Linked DNA regions of Canis lupus familiaris. Each later gene encodes a partner of the first gene's protein in a complex. Links are inferred from orthologs where the notes say so. Each region holds a gene or a part of one and is shown in the gene's direction. Other genes may lie near its edges. The genes, in order: KANSL3, KANSL2, OGT and PHF20.

Region 1 (4,556 bases):
CCTAGGTGTCCCTGTCTCCTTTCTCCCTATTGCCTCCCCACTCTCTGACCTTCCATCTTTCCTCTGGGTCCAGAGGGCTCTGTGTTGCATTGCACAGGCTCTCTGAAGCATTGGGTCTCTTTCTTTGGGCTGGTCTCTGCACCTGCCTCCATCAGCGTTATTTCAGTTGTCTCACTCCTGCCCTGAGAGGCAACCAAAATGAGTTGAACCAATCCACTAATATTCTAAAATGACTGGACTTGACTTTGCCTTCTCCACCTCAGGATCACCTCCAGTTAAATTTAGCCTGGGGGTGTGGTGTGTGTGCATGTTTGTGGTATACAGCTGGGTAATGAATCAAATGCCAAGGGGACCAAGGATGCCTAGTGAAGGTGGCCAGAGTGAGGGCATATGCAGCCCCCATGCCTGCCATGCTAGAACGTGAATCCTGTGCTGCCACAGCCTCCAACTTTTTAAGAGAGTCCAGAAATCTGGATTTTTACATAAAATATCCTTAGTTTAAAATGTTTGCAACCAGGAATGCCTGGGTAGCTCAGTTGGTTAAGCACCCAACTCTTGATGTCAGGTCAGGTCGTGCTCTCAGAGTCTTGAGATCAAGCCCAGCCTGGGTTCTGTGCCCAGAGAGGAGTCTGTTGAAAATTCTCTCTCCCAAGGATCCCTGGGTGGCTCAGTGGTTTGGCACCTGCCTTGGGCCCAGGGCGTGATCCTGGAGTCCCAGGATTGAGTCCCACGTTGGGCTCCCTGCATGGAGCCTGCTCCTCCCTCTGCGTATGTCTCTGCCTCTCTCTTTCTCTGTCTCTCATGAATAAACAAAATCTTTAAAAAATAAAATGAAATTCTCTCTCCCTCTCCCTCTGCCCTTCCTCCACTCACTCACTAGTGTGCACGGTCTCTTACTCTCAAAAAACAAACAAACAAACAAAAATTTGCAATGAAATAAAGTTTTGAGAAAGCAGTGGGCATACTAAAGAACATGGTGTTGGGCTGTCCTTGGCCCACTTGCCATCCCCACCTAGGCCCCAACTAACCTTTCCAATCCCTCTGCAATGGCCTGGTCCTTCAGAGTCCAACGTTAGGTGACTTCCCTTCAAGACACCCCCCCAATCCCTTCGTTGTAGGACACCCTGGGGGGCCCTCATGGTAATCACCATCCTGAGATCTCTTTGTGCGCCTGACAGGTAGGGCATTACCCAGTTCATTCTCCCAGCCCCCGCCCCTCCCCCGGGGGGGAAGTATTTGCACATTCAGGGGTGAGGGCGACGCTGAGATCTTGCTGGGGTCGTAAAGCCAAGGGGTTTCGGGTCGGAGCTGAGATTCCAACCCCCTGAGCCTGATCTCTACCTGGAGCGGCACTGCCCCCTCAGACGCCTCAGCAGCAGGAGCCTTTTCGACTCTGCATTCAGGGCGGACTTCTGCGCTCGAGAGCCGCGCGCCTCCGGGCGCTCCTCTTCCCGCCCCTGGGGCCGCAGGCGCTCACTCCCTTTCCGGGTTTTGCCGCTCACCACCCTTCTCGGGAGGGAATCCGCTTCCGCGTTTTGCGGGGCGCCGGGCGTGGAGGCGGTAACGCGCACGCGCGCAGGGATTCGGCCCGGGCCGAGCGCGCGGCCCGGCGATTGCGGGTGAGGGCAGGGCCGGCCCCGGCGGGGTGGCGGCTCGGGCGGGTCGCGGCCCGGCCCGGGCGAGCGGGAGTGTGGGCGAGGGCTTCAGGGCTCCCGGGGCATGCGGGGGCTGGGGGCTAGAGCCCGGGGCCGGGCGGCGGGGGCAGAGGCGGGCCGCCGTGAGGCGGGCGCCCGGCCGGGCCCGGGCCCGTGACGCGGGCGGGAGGCGGGTGCGAGGCGGCTCCTCCTCGTCGCGAACTCTCGGTGACCTTGGCCGAGTCGCTTCTGTGCCCCGAGCTGGCGCCTCCGTCCGTAAAGTGCGAATTATAAGCCCCGCCCGCCAGATGGGGCGCTTGGAGGCTCGGCGGCGAGACCCCGAGGGGTACGTGGGGCGCCGGGCGGTTTGCCGCGGACGATCCACCGGGGCGGGGGCAGGGCGCCTCCTGGCTTCGCGTTTTGCTGCGTGCCCGGGGCAGGAGCCCTCGTTGGCGTGTTTTGGGGACTCTAGACTATTACAAAGTAGTTGCAAAACTTTTAACCTACGAAAGAGGCCCAGGCCCTGCTGTAGGGGGGGTGCTCCCTCGGGCGCGGAGCTGGCTCCACGAAGGTGTCGGGGTGGGCCGAAGCCGCGGAGCGGGGGAGACCCTCCGTCCTGGGGGAATTAGTGTCTGTGAGTCCCGTGGTTTGCCCAAGCCCTGCCTGCTGCCCGCCCGCCCGCCCGCCCAAGAGTTTGTGGTGCTGGCCAAGCAAGTTTAGCATGTGTCCATGTGAGGCCTTTGTGAACAGTGGAGCCAGCGGGCTCTCCGTAAACGCTGAATTTTGTAGAGTGAATATGGAGGATCCTATGGCGCCCATAGTTTTTTTTTTGGGGGGGAGGGGGGAGTGGTGTGGGATCTCGGGAGCCCTTCCTATGATGGGCAAGGGTCTGCGGCGTAGTGGATTACCCAGTTCCGAATGATAGAAAGTCACAAAAGTGAGAAGCATGCATATTCGATACTCTAGGTTGGAAGAGATTTAGGATCTTTGAATGGACTTAAACCGAAACTTTTTCGCTGCAGGTGACTAGCATGCAGATACCCATTCTCTGACTTGCTGGCCCTCTACTGACATGGCCCACCGCGGTGGGGAGAGGGACTTCCAGACTTCAGCGCGGCGCATGGGCACCTCGCTGCTCTTTCAGCTTTCAGTGCACGAGCGGGAGCTGGACCTGGTTTTTCTGGATCATAGCTATGCCAAGCCATGGAGTGCCCACCCAGATGCCAGTAGTGCCCGCCCCACGCGCATGCTCTTTGTTACTCCCCGGAGGCAGCACGAAAGTACCATGTGAGTTTGGGCTTCTCTGTCCCCAGGGCTGCCCTTGCCCTAACTGGACAGTCACCAGATGGTGGGGATTAGAGAGGATTTTATTGTGGGCGATTGTATGGGGGCCTTGGATGTTCACTTCAGGTATCCCGCCTCTAATGTAGACATCTGCATTCAAGACCTCTAACAAGTTGGGAAAGCAAACAACGTATCCCCATAGTAAATAGGACTTGTATGGAAAGAGGATTATTTAGCTGGCGAAGAAAAAGACTGAAGAATTGAGTTTTAAAAATCGCCGCTCATGATTAGACTCCTTTCTTTTAGTCCAGTGTTCTGGCTTGCTCCAACACTGGCAACAATGACTTTTTTAAGGGAATGCGATTTCTTTTTCCTGGCTTCACCCAGCAAAGTTTAGGAGCTTTTCCAAGACCTTGCTTTCAGCTTGTCACCCATGGGTTGATACTAACCCTTCCTAGGTGTGATTGTATTTTCAACTGGCTTACATTATAGGGTAAGGATTTTTTTCATAAACTTACTGTGTAATATGTGATACAATTACATTTGGCCTAAATCAGCTTGTTTAGCACTTCTTTTGAGCTTTAAGGTATTCTAATTTTATTTCAAGATCAGTTGATATATACTATTTTGATGATCAAATCATGCCCTTAATTTGTTAACTTTTTTTGGGGGGAAGAGATTTTTTCTTTGTTTGTTTTAATCTAATCGAATGTCTAATGTTTCCTCTAGGACAAGTTTTAGGTTTGTTGGTGAATAGAAATCTTGTATTTTGCTTCTTTTTACCTCCCATTGAGCCTTAATGAGCTAGAGGTACCATGATATGTGTGTGTGTGTGTGTGTGTGTGTGTGTGTGTTTAAGATTTTATTTATTTATTCATGAGAGACACAGAGAAACAGAGAGGCAGAGACACAGGCAGAGGGAGAAGCAGGCTCCACGCAGGGAGCCCTACACGCGACTTGATCCCGGGTCCCCAGGATCACGCCCCGGGCCGAAGACTGCGCTAAACTGCCTAGCCACCCAGGCTGCCCCTGATGTGTGTGTTTTAAATGAGAATAGAATAGTTGGTTTTACTTTATTTCCCAATGAGGGCAGTATTTGGTTGGCTGTTTTAGTTGTAACAGGGTAGGGGAATCTGTGACTTTTAGGGATAATCTAGCATAATCTTGATGCCTCTGGCATGGGGCATAACTGCAAGAGCTCCTTTATAGCTTCTTGCTAACATTGAAACTCCTGTGTTGGGATGTTTGTGATGTTTGTGATGTTTTCTTAAAGTGAGATTCCGAGGACTTGCTCATTTCAGTACTTAGAAAATTATTACCTCTTATAAACCATCTCCATGTATAGGTCCTGAAAATGGGAATTAGCATGTTCTAGGGACTTTTTAGGTCATTCTGTCTGGAATATGGTTTGTAGTGAGGGTGTTAGTGGGAGCTAGGGAAGTTGGTGGAGGCTACCTCATATAGGAATTTGATGCTAAGAGTGGTAAGAGGTCATTAAAGGATTTTAAACTAGAGATTGGATTTATATCACTTTGAATTTTTGTTGAGTAGATATAGCTCAGGAGTGGACATAGAAGACCTGCTAGGAGACCATTGCAGTAATGGGGGCCAGAGATCATGATAGGTTGAATAGGGGCA
Region 2 (3,984 bases), on another chromosome or scaffold:
TGATGTGTTAAGTAATCTAGTTTTGTGTGGTGGAGTTACGGAGGTGGGAAGTCTTAATGGCTGCTCTCCCTTCCTTGCCTCAGATGAAGACAGCTGGAGTGATGGGGAGCAGGAACCCATTACTGTGGATCAGACATGGAGAGGTGACCCTGACAGTGAAGCTGATAGCATAGACAGTGATCAAGAAGATCCCCTAAAGTAAGTTGTAACTCCACATAAGGCTTTAAAATTTTTTTGTAGTTAGAATGTGGACTGTAGTAATGCATGCAATTAATAGATTAATAACCTAGGAGGGGTGAAGAGAGTTTAGCTATTTTGTGAGCAGTAATAGCTTCTGTATTTTAAAGTGTCCTGTCCTGGTTCACCACCATCTTGCTGCAGGGCAAGATTTTATTCTGTTTTGGAAGTCTTGTAATTTGGAAAAATTTTTGGATATCAAATTCTACACATGAAAAAGCCTAGGGGAGAAAATAGGAACTGTCTTGGACATAATGGGAGGTTGGTTGAGAAATGCTTAAATCCGTTGGAGAAGAGGAAATTGATATAAATGGATTCCTGGCTTAAGCCTCAGGAACAATAATGTGATTGTATTTGAATAACTACTTTTTTTTTTTTTTTTTTGCAAAGTTACATTTTATGAGGGTTTTTTTTTTCTAGTAGGAAAAAAAAAGATGTTCAAGAGTTTCCTTGGTTTCATGCCTAAGAAAGAGAAACTGATTTAGAAACCTAGAAGTGACTAATCAGTCTAATTATATCTTAACTAAGATTCTGCTCTTCACTTAGTTCATGATCACCTTAAGAGTTGTAGAAAAAAAAAAAAAACCGTTGCTACTCACTGCCTTCTATTTCTGTCTCATGGTTTGGGTTTAGTTTAGTTTTTTCTTTTTTTGTTTTCTTCATTCTTTTTGACTACTGTCTTTTGAGAAACATTTCGCATTGACAGCATACAAGTATAGTAAATAGGTAATGAATTTCTAGTCTTTTTACAAAATCGTTTAGGTTTACATTTGCTAAGTAGAATAATTTCATCTGTTTTTCTTGAGTAATGTCAGTTACTCAGTTCAAACAATGAGTGTCAGTTCAAACAATCTTGTTTGGAAAGTTTCATCTAAGTAGTTTGAAAGTTCATTAACTGGCAGGATTCTTTCTCAGCAGTAATTTTATACCAGACATTCTTTTTTTTTTCCTCTCCCATTGTGGTTCTGAAAGAAAAAAAAAAAAGCCAGACTTGCTGCTTTGAAGAGGTGTATGCTCTGTAGGGTCACAAAGTGACTGTCCTTTGGTGTGGTAAATACTCAGCTTTGAAGGTCCAGAAACTTGATTTTTGTCAGTAGTAATCTACAGTGGATCAGTCTCTGGGGGACACATTTATGCTAGTGTAACTTAAAAATACCAGTTAATTTTATGAGATGTATAAATGTTAAAAGGACTAGATACTTGATGTCAGTGTCTCCTAAAAGGAACATTCAAAGGGGAAAATAAAATAGGCAACTAAATATAAGGCTTTCCTTAATTCCCCTATGAGATCCAAAAAAAATTTTGGCCTTCTAAAATATTTGCATTTTTAGGGATGTCAGTAGAGTTGTTAAATATCTTATAATACTAAAGTTTTTTTTTTTTTTTTTTTTTTTTAAGATTTTATTTATTCATGAGAGAGAGAGAGAGAGGCAGACATAGGCAGAGGGAAAAGCAGGCTCCATGCAGGGAGCCCTATGTGGGACTTGATCCCAGGACTCTGGGATCATGCCCTGAGCCAAAGGCAGATGCTCAACCGCTGAACCACCCAGGCGTCCCTGATACTAAATTTGTTAATATGTTTCCATATTGCTGATGTCTTAAATTTAATAAAAGTTTCTTTATTTAATGAAATTCTTTTAATTTCATTTCTGGTGCCAGTGTTTTGTCACTAGGACCATTTTTTTTGAATCATTAACAATTTAACAGCGTATGTTTTCTTTACTTGCTTGTTTCAGAAGGGTGCTTTTTGTATTATTTATGATGATGTCATTAGATTTTATCCTAACTAGAATTAGTATTAGTGTAGTTTCTTTCCCCTCTTGTAGGTATGTATATGTGATTTTCCTCAAAGTAACCATTTACTTAATTGTTTTTATTTGTTAAAGATTTTATTCATTCATTCATTCATTCATTCATTTATTCATGAGAGATACAGAGAAAGAGGCAGACACACAGGCAGAGGGAGAAGCAGGCTCCCTGCAGAGAGTCTGATGTGGGACTTGATCCTATGATCCCAGGATCATGACCTGAGCCACTCAAGCGTCCCAGAATGTATTTTAAATTAGAAACTGAAATCACTGTCTTTTGTACTTCAACTAAAATAGGTTAAGGTATAAATGCTACTAAGTTGAATACTTTTAAGCTGTTCTGATAGCTTTAATTTCTTCACAATTAAATTATGAAACTGGGATAAGATTGTAGATTAATAAAAACTTTGAGTGTTCCATGTCTTCACTTCTTAAACATAATGCAGGTAACTGGGGAAAATAATGAAACCTCTTGCCTTCATCATGTTGTGAGATCACAAATTAGTATCCATACTTGGGGATTTTATTATTTTGTTTTTTAATAACTTTTTTTTTGTTTTTTAATAACTTGAATGCTGTATGTAAAAACATTCCTATTTAATAAGGTGATGGTCTCTGTGCTGACTTACTGTTAAATAAGAAACTTAAATCTCTTCTCTACCCTTTTCTGCGTTTAAGCTGTGGTTTTATTTTTGTGTTTTCTTATGTTTTTGCTTAACTCTGTTTTATTCCAGACATGCTGGTGTCTACACAGCAGAAGAAGTTGCCCTGATTATGCGTGAAAAGCTAATTCGTTTGCAGTCTTTGTACATTGATCAGTTTAAACGACTTCAGCATCTGCTCAAAGAGAAGAAGCGACGTTACTTACATAATCGCAAAGTGGAACATGAAGCTCTAGGCAAGTGTTCTTTTTTTAAAAAGATTTTATTTATTTATTCATGAGAGACACAGAGAGAGAGAGAGGCAGAAACACAGGCAGAGGGAGAAGCAGGCTCCGTGCAGGGAGTCCGATGTGGGACTCGATTCTGGAACTCCAGGATCACGCCCTAGGCTGAAGGTAGGCACTAAACCACTGAGCCACCCAGGGATCCCATCTAGGCAAGTTTTAATGTTAGTCCCAACAAGCTGTTGTGGCTTCAAAATGTGTATTTGGTAGTAGTTAGATTTATTTCTGTCTTGGTACCTGGAGTGAAGGAGAATTTGCTTTTGAAAGTGGCTATCTTATGGCCAGAGTTTTCTCTGTTTATTTCTTGTTAATTGGGGAAGCCATCCTTTATTGGTTGCTTGGCACGTAAATCTTGACTGTTGTGACTCACCAGGTAGTAGTCTCCTGACTGGCCCAGAGGGACTTTTGGCCAAAGAACGAGAGAACTTAAAGCGTCTAAAATGTCTTCGGCGGTATCGTCAGCGCTATGGAGTGGAAGCCTTATTACATAGGCAGCTGAAGGAGCGCAGAATGCTGGCTACAGATGGTGCTGCCCAACAGGTAATTTGTGTTTATATCTGTAAGGGGTATATATTTGCTTTGTTTACAAGTTAGAGTAATAGTCAAAACATTGTACAGTCTTGGATCGGAAATCTGACTTAATTGCACGTGGGGTAAATTGAAAAGAACACTTACGTGGAAGTCCAGAGACGTGAATTGTAGTCTTAGTTCTCTCTCTTTTTTTTTTTAGTTCTCTTTTGACCAGTTCTGTGTCTGCACTGTTAACTTCTTTGGGCCTCTGTTCTCTGTAAATTTACAGGTTGCCATAGATTTCTAAGTTCTTTGGTTCAGAAATTCTTCAGTTCAGAAATAGGGACTGGTTAAAGCGTAAGTTGCTTGGGAAACTTGTTTTAGAAGATGAGAGGATAGGTAGAATAATAGGAGCAAAGAATGTCAGGAGCTAAGTTGATAGGAAGCAGAGGTGTTTTTTTTTTTTTTTGTTTTTTTTTTTAA
Region 3 (3,984 bases), on another chromosome or scaffold:
GATGCTCAACCACTGAATCACTCAGGCATCCCAACATTTAAAAAATAAATTTATTGATTGATTGATTGATTGATTTTTATTTATTCATGAGAGAGAAGCAGAGGGAAAAGGAGGCTCCGTGCAAGGAGCCCGATGTGGGATTCGATCCCGGGACTCCAGGATCATGCCCTGGGCCAAAGACAGGCGCTAAACCGCTGAGCCACCCAGGGATCCCCACATTTTTTAAATTTAAATTCAATTTGCCAACATATAGCGTAACACTAAGTGCTCATCACATCATATGCCCTCCTTAATGCCTATCACCCAGTTATTCTACCCCCCCACTGACCTCCCATTCTGCAACCCTGTGTTTCACAGAGTCAGGAGTCTCTCATGACTTAACCATATTTTTATACTGCATAAATGTAATTTGTCTTCTTACTATGTTTTGTACCTGTGACTCTGAATTCTATTTAATGCCATTAAAACTTATTGAATTAGTTTGAGATTATACATAGTGAGTTCTGTTTTTTATTGCATAGATTCCATGCAATGGAAAAGCAGCTGATCGCATCCATCAGGATGGTATACACATCCTTGTCAATATGAATGGTTATACCAAGGGTGCTCGAAATGAACTCTTTGCTCTCAGGCCTGCTCCTATTCAGGTAAAGGAACTAATAGTAATTGCTTACAATGTTTATTAAGCTATAAAGATGGTGATTTTTTTCCACCCTCCAGTTGCTTGGCATTTAAAACAATAGGGCAGATATGCTTGACTTAATAAAAGTATAGTTCTTGAAATGCACAGGGACAATGAATTTTATTATTTTTTATTTTTAAAGATTTTTATTTATGCATGAGCGATACATAGAGAGGGGCAGAGACATAGGCAGAGGGAGAAGCAGGCTCCCTGCGGGGAGCCTGATGCGGGACTAGATCCCAGGACCCTGGGATTGTGACCAAAGGCAGATGCTCAACCACTGAGCCACCCAGGTGTCCCAAGACAAAGAAATTTTAATGTAGAACACAGTGCCCACAGGTACATTTGTATAGAGATATGCAATTCATAGTTGAATACGAACAGTTCGGTTTTTTAAATTGGGAAAACGTTTAACACTGAGAAGGTTAGGCTGAAATACTACTTGATTCCTCCTAGCTAAAGAAGTCAACCCTCCTTATTTGTTTGTTTATTATTTTGAACTCTTTTGGTGAGGCTTTTTAGCTTTTGGCCTGATTTTTTTTTTTTTAATCTTTTAGGCAATGTGGCTGGGATACCCTGGGACCAGTGGTGCGCTTTTCATGGATTATATCATCACTGATCAGGAAACTTCACCAGCTGAAGTTGCTGAGCAGTATTCTGAGAAACTGGCTTATATGCCCCATACTTTCTTTATTGGTGATCATGCGAATATGTTCCCTCACTTGAAGGTAGAAAAACAGTGCTATGTGGACATTGCAAAGAACTGTAGTCGTTTATTTCCTTGCTGTTGTCCCTATGCATCCTAAAAGAGTCTCAAACTTTTTTTTGATTAGAAAAAAGCTGTCATCGATTTTAAGTCCAATGGCCACATTTATGATAATCGGATTGTTCTGAATGGCATTGACCTCAAAGCATTTCTTGATAGTCTGCCGGATGTGAAAATTGTCAAGGTCAGAACCTGGTCAATATCGTCATTGAAATAAAGTTATCTGCATTTGGGATCTTTTCCCTAATGATACATCTTGTCATTTTTTTCTTAAAGATGAAATGTCCTGACGGAGGAGACAATGGAGACAGCAGTAATACAGCTCTTAATATGCCCGTTATTCCTATGAATACTATTGCAGAAGCGGTTATCGAGATGATTAACAGGGGGCAAATTCAGATAACAATTAATGGATTCAGTATTAGCAATGGACTAGCAACTACCCAGGTGAGAAGAGAATAATAGAGCATAATACCACCAAGTATTCATTTATCTTATTTTTTTAAGATTTTATTTATTCATTCATGAGAGAGAGAGAGAGAGGGGGGCACAGACACAGGCAGAAGCAGGCTCCGTGCAAGGAGCCCAATGTGGGACCCAATCCTGGATATCCACGATCACACTCTGGGCTGAAGGTGGCGTTAAACCTCTGAGCTCCTGGGGCTGCCCTCATTTATCTTCTTTAAATCTAATAACTCTAGGAGATGTAAGCACCATTATCCCTGTCTTATATTGAGGAAATGAGTGGTGGAAATTGACATCTTACAAGCCTTTTATTTTTAAAGGCTTTTTATTAGTGTTTTATTTTTTATTTTACTTTATTTTTTATAAGTAATTTATTGTATTGGAAATTCCTTGGAAGTGCTCTTTTTTTTTAAAAAAAAAATTATTTATTTATTTATTCAGAGTGAGAGAGAGAGGCAGAGACACAGGCAGAGGGAGAAGCAGGCTCCATGCAGGGATCCTGACGTGGGACCCAATCTCGGGTCTCCAGGATCACACCCCGGGCTGCAGGTGGCGCTAAACCGCTGCGCCACAAGAGCTGCCCTAGCCTTTTATTTTAAAAGGCTCTTGGATTCAGTCATTAGATCACTTAATGAGGGTCTACTGTGTTAATAATATGTTACTTCCTGCCTGTAGCTTTCCTCTTATCAGCGGTGAATTATCTGTAGACCTCGTACAGTTTCTTGCTTCTGTAACTCAATTCTTTCCCTTAGTTAAATCTTACTCCCTTTGAAGACTTTCAGTTCATACAGCTCCTCCAGGATCTATTCCTGTCTCTATTAGTAATCTTGCCTTCCCTGTTCCATTGGCACCTGTCTTCTCTGCTTTTGTAATATTTGAAATGCATTTTTACATCCAGCACAGCATGTTATAATTCCCTATGTTTGTGTATTCTTCCCTGAATTGAATTACTTTAGGGCCCATACCTTAGCCACAGTAATGTTGTATGTGTTCAATAAACATGTTGCATATTGGAATAAGTGAATATGTATCTCTGTCAAGAGATTATAAGGCAAGGATCTCTCTCTTAGGAGTTAACAGTTTTAGTGGTATAACAGTTTATACCATGGATGCTTAAAATGAACTCTTTTTCTCTCAGGCAAGTTCCTGTTAAGATAAAGGAATTAATAATCATTTACAAGGTTTATTGGGCTAAAAAGACAGTGCCATATTTTTTCTTAATCTCTGATTAACTGTCATTTGAAACAATAGGCGTGTTTGACCTAAGGAAAAAAAAGTATATAGTTCTTGAAATACACAGGGACAGAGAACTTTGGGTGTAGAACATGATGCCCAAATGTATGAAACCTACCTGGAATAGTTAGATAACAATATAAGGCAGTACCTCGATGTATGGGAATTGCAAGGTAAGACTATAATTGTGTACATAGATACTTAAAAATAGTGGTGATCAATGTGAGGAGACACAGTGAAGATGGTTTGGAGGAATAATTTAACTTTCAAGGATGGATGTGATTTAGAAAAGGACATTCATTAAAAAAGTGAGCAAAAGCTTGCTGTTAGATTAATAAGATTTTGAAAAGAACTTTTTGGCTTGAGTGATAAGTTTCAAGGTAAAGTCTTCCGCTTGCCCCCATTAAGATAATACCGTAACGTTTTTCCTTTCTTGAACTTAATATGTCATGAATATTTTCTCACAGTTCAAATGACATGACTTTTAGTGGTTATACTATTTGGCATTTTAAGGATTCTTTTTTTAAGACTTATTTATTAGAGAAAGCATATGTGCGCATGTGCTCGTGTACATATATGCACAAGCAGGGTTGGAGGGTAGAGGGAGAGAGAGAATCCTAAGCACAGAGCTTGATGCCAGGTTTGATCCCACAACTCTGAGATCATGACCTGAGCTGAAGCCAGGAGCCAGACACCTAAACGACTGAGCCACCCAGGCACCCCAAGGATTCTTTATTAATTAAAAAATACCACATACTGCTGACTTTAAATATAAACATCCTATTGTTTTTTGTGTTCCAGATCAACAATAAAGCTGCCACTGGAGAGGAGGTTCCTC
Region 4 (3,984 bases), on another chromosome or scaffold:
GAATGAGAATGAGCAGGGGAGAGGGGCAGGTACAGAGAGGGATATGCAGACTCCCCACTGAGCAGGGAGGCCAGTGCTGGACTCGATCCCAGGACCCTGAGATCATGACCTGAGCCAAAGTCAGACTTAACCAACTGAGGCATCCAGGTTACTGAATGTAACTGAAAGTTATTGCATGCCAGGATTATCATGCCTGCTTATTTGGTTAGTTTTAGTAACTCACATTTGAAGAGTACTTTGCTAACAAACTACTTTTATTTGGATTAATGCACTTAATCTTTACCAAAGTCGTTGGCTAAAGGCAGACAAATACTTAGCCTAGTTTTGCAGAGGAGGGAATGGGAATGAGTCTGGCTGAGTGACTTAATACAGCTGCACTGCTGATCAGTGGCTGAACTGAAATGCAGTCAAGTCTTCTGACTCCCAAGTCTAATCTTACCATGAGTGTTCACAGCAGGAGCTTGCCTGCCCGTGATCTCCTCAGAGACCATGAATTTATATTCCCTTTTGCTTAGCAAATGGTGGCTTGTGGCCAGATGGCCCAAGTGGGGAGTTCTTCTTCCTATTGGGAGAGTGGGAATTGAGAAGCCACTGCAGTGGTCGCAGTTACTCCAAAGCCCTTTCTGTGTTTGTCCTCCCAACAGAAGCAGGGAGCATCCTGATCTGCAGCTGTGGTGTCAGCCTTGGAAACAGCACTCAGGGGAGGGGAGATCTCATTCGAAACACATCCACGTCACTGAAGCCAAGAGCAAAGAGGAAGTCCTGAGCTATAGAACTTTGAATGGGGCAGTGGAGAAGCCCTTGCCCCTCCCCATACCCCGGTCTATGGAGGAGTCCTATATTACTAGCGAGCATTGTTATCAGAAGCCCCGTGCCTATTACCCTGCTGTGGAGCAGAAGCTGGTGGTGGAGACTCGGGGCTCTGCCCTCGACGATGCAGTCAACCCCCTCCATGAGAATGGTGATGATTCTCTCTCTCCACGTCTGGGCTGGCCTCTAGACCAAGACAGGAGTAGGGGGGACAGTGACTCCAAATCTAGCTCCCTAAAGGTATGTGGCTCACTTGTACTTGTTCTTAATTTAGTATTTGAGTGCTTGAGCTCCACTTGTAGGGTTCTGTGGAAGATGCTTTTTTTTTTTTTTTAAGATTTTATTTATTCATCAGAGACACAGAGAGAAAGAGAGGCAGAGACATAGGCAGAGGGAGAAGCAGACTCCATGCAGGGAGCCTGATGCAGGACTCGATCCCAGGTCTTCAGGATTATGCCCTGGGCCGAAGGCAGCGCTAAACTGCTGAGCCATCCGGGCTGCCCTGAAAGATGCTTTTTGTAAAATTGTATTTAAATTTGCTTATCAAAAAAAAAAAAATAAAAAAAATAAATTTGCTTATCATAGGTGTTTTCTGGTCAGTTAAAATGGTTGTAAAGTCAGGAGAGCCCAATTAAACCAGAGATCACAGGTTCCAGGAAATGCCCACAAAATGACATAGTCACTAGGGGTGGGAGGTGGAGAGGTGGGAAGAATTGAGAAGGATAGTGTTGACACTTGATAAATGGAAGTTAGGTAGGAAAATTGTTTTTTTTCTTTAATGGCGTTTATGTTGTAATTGCACCTAGCTGCTAAGTCTTAGCATGAGCAAAGAATGAGTAAAATGTTTTGTTAGGCATAAGTTTTTCAGTACAATTGTATGATAGCTTTACTTTGGCTTTTAACTTTGTAGCCCTGACATAAAAACAGTCCATTTCGTCAGAATATTTAATGGTTTCATCAGCTTGCCCAAGAAAAACTCAGTTTTTTGTTACTCGAACCATGCTCTTCTAGAGCCTCTTTGTGTCATTTTCCTGCCAATATTGTCATCTTTAACTGTTCACTTATGCCCTTCTGTCCTGTCCTCAGTTGGTCAGTGAGGCTTTGTGTAAGTGGAGAGCTTCTCCACCATCATCATCCTTCCTTTTAAATTTTCTTTTAAATTTTACCCTGTGGCTGGCATCATCAGCATTTAGATATGTTACTGCATGTTGCCAAGTGGGACATCCTAAATGATAAGCCACTCACGGGTGGGCACTGTACCTCTTTCAGCCTGTCCCCTTGCCAGTGCTGGTCATGGTTGGTGAGGTTGGTCTTTGGAGACAGACCCAGTGTCATGTCTGGGCTTAGCCATTTACTGTGTGATGCTGAGCAGGTCAGCATCCTTAGATGTGTCTCTTCACCTATCTGTGGGAGGGGCCAGTGCCCATCCCTCTAGTTACTGTGCAGTGTGTCTGCGAAAAACCGTCAGTACAGAGCTTTGCACAGTCAGCTCTAATAAATATTAGCTCAACTTTTTCATTTCGAATGAATGAATGAAAGGTTGAGATCACAAACGGTAGAAACCATTTGTGATCGTAAAACTAGGCAGATTTCCTAAAGACATCTGCCACGTAATAAAAAGTCAGAAAATACGAGGCCTAAACAAGGCAGCTAGGATTAAAAATATCTTTCATTCATGGCAAGCTGACCATAGGCCAGCATGGTGTTTTATAAACCTTATATATTTCATTCTCATGAACCTAAAAATTGGGTTTCACTACTTGCATCTTTCCCATAAGAGAACAGAGGCTCAGAGAGGAAAAGTAACTAATCTAGGCTCACACATTCAGCAAGACAAGAAGCTAGGACTTAAAACTAGTTTGTCTGAGTCCTGCTAAGTAACATACTAATTCCTGTCTGCACCCATCCTGTTCTACTCTGATCTCAGGGCTCTAGAAGCCATTCTGTGAGGCCTATTTTGGGTCTGGAGCATTGGGCCAGTCACTAGGAAGCAGTTGTGAGGCCTCTTGATGCCCTAAGGTGTTTGTGATTGCTGCCCCAGGCATACTTCTGCCTGGTGTCCAAGACAGGAGAGGGAGATAGATAGAGGTTTGGAATATTCAGACTGCAGCTGGTTTTTCAGATGATTGCAAACACTGGCTAGTTGGAGAATGGGCTGGGAGCAGTCTCCACACAGTAATTTAAATACCATTCCATTCCTAGGTGAGAGAATATGTCTCCAAAAAGGTCCTACCCGAGGAAGCCCCTACTCGGAAGCTGCTGGACAGAGGCGGAGAGGGGCTGCTGAGCTCCCAGCATCAGTGGCAGTTTAACCTGCTGACCCATGTGGAATCCCTTCAGGACGAAGTCACGCATCGGATGGACTCCATTGAGAAGGAGCTGGATGGTAGGGCTGCATCTCTGGCTCTCCCACAGATGCTGCATTCTTGCCTCTTTTTTTTTTTTTTTTTTTTTCCAGCCTCCTCCACCCACATCCGCCCCCTCAGGCACCTAAGGTCTGTGTAATGTCAGGAGTCCTTAACTTACCTAGTGCCTTCTGCAAAACAGAGTGCAAAAGTGTAACTAGACTCTGCCTACAGGCTGTGTGCAACCTGAGCAAATCTTTGCCGGTGGAGTTCCATGGGGAATTTCAGCTTGGACTTAATATTGTTTTGGATGTCTTTGAGGATTAATCTGAAGAAACCTTTTATTTTGGCCTTTCATCAAATCTAAACTGAAGCCTTCTCTTCTTTATCAGTAGAGGTTTAAGAACTTGACTGAATCATTTGGGTAACCCTGGGTATTTCTCCCAGGTGTTAGAGGTAGTAGATGGGCCTGATGATCATGCTCAAGTTTAGTCTTTTTTGATCCCTAGGAAGTTGCCAGCTTGTTTTTTTTTTTCTTTGTTTTTTTTTTTTGTTTGTTTGTTTGTTTTTAAAAGATTTTATTTATTCATGAGAGAAAGGCAGAGACATAGGCAGAGGGAGAAGCAGGCCCCCTGCGGAGAGCCCGATGTGGGACTTGATCCCAGGACCCCAGGATCACACCCTGAGCAAAAGGCAGATGCTCAACCACTGAGCCACCTAGGCATCCCGACTCCAGCTTGGTTTTTTTTTTTTTTTTTTTTTTTTTTTTTTTTTTTCCAGCTTGGTTTTTGAAGACAGAATTCCTTGATTGTTCACTTATTTCTTATTT

Evidence for each region.
Region 2: KANSL3 (region 1) and KANSL2 share a complex: the UniProt entries of both Homo sapiens proteins name them as parts of the NSL complex. The link is inferred for Canis lupus familiaris from reciprocal best matches to the Homo sapiens genes KANSL3 and KANSL2.
Region 3: KANSL3 (region 1) and OGT share a complex: the UniProt entries of both Homo sapiens proteins name them as parts of the NSL complex. The link is inferred for Canis lupus familiaris from reciprocal best matches to the Homo sapiens genes KANSL3 and OGT.
Region 4: KANSL3 (region 1) and PHF20 share a complex: the UniProt entries of both Homo sapiens proteins name them as parts of the NSL complex. The link is inferred for Canis lupus familiaris from reciprocal best matches to the Homo sapiens genes KANSL3 and PHF20.

What each region holds. Positions count from the first base shown.
Region 1 is NC_049231.1:46,372,450-46,377,005, forward strand, and holds the start of KANSL3 (KAT8 regulatory NSL complex subunit 3), read left to right. Parts: upstream 1-1,485; 5' UTR 1,486-1,619; intron 1,620-1,810; exon of another isoform or gene 1,811-1,980; intron 1,981-2,656; 5' UTR 2,657-2,706; coding exon 2,707-2,921; intron 2,922-2,939; exon of another isoform or gene 2,940-3,411; intron 3,412-4,556. UniProt on the Homo sapiens protein: Non-catalytic component of the NSL histone acetyltransferase complex, a multiprotein complex that mediates histone H4 acetylation at 'Lys-5'- and 'Lys-8' (H4K5ac and H4K8ac) at transcription start sites and promotes transcription initiation.
Region 2 is NC_049248.1:40,817,294-40,821,277, reverse strand, and holds part of KANSL2 (KAT8 regulatory NSL complex subunit 2), read left to right. Parts: intron 1-83; coding exon 84-198; intron 199-2,779; coding exon 2,780-2,943; intron 2,944-3,364; coding exon 3,365-3,531; intron 3,532-3,984. UniProt on the Homo sapiens protein: Non-catalytic component of the NSL histone acetyltransferase complex, a multiprotein complex that mediates histone H4 acetylation at 'Lys-5'- and 'Lys-8' (H4K5ac and H4K8ac) at transcription start sites and promotes transcription initiation.
Region 3 is NC_049260.1:56,041,069-56,045,052, forward strand, and holds part of OGT (UDP-N-acetylglucosamine--peptide N-acetylglucosaminyltransferase 110 kDa subunit), read left to right. Parts: intron 1-521; coding exon 522-647; intron 648-1,239; coding exon 1,240-1,410; intron 1,411-1,515; coding exon 1,516-1,632; intron 1,633-1,724; coding exon 1,725-1,895; intron 1,896-3,947; coding exon 3,948-3,984. UniProt on the Homo sapiens protein: Catalyzes the transfer of a single N-acetylglucosamine from UDP-GlcNAc to a serine or threonine residue in cytoplasmic and nuclear proteins resulting in their modification with a beta-linked N-acetylglucosamine (O-GlcNAc).
Region 4 is NC_049245.1:25,372,117-25,376,100, forward strand, and holds part of PHF20 (PHD finger protein 20), read left to right. Parts: intron 1-644; coding exon 645-1,050; intron 1,051-3,012; coding exon 3,013-3,196; intron 3,197-3,984. UniProt on the Homo sapiens protein: Methyllysine-binding protein, component of the MOF histone acetyltransferase protein complex.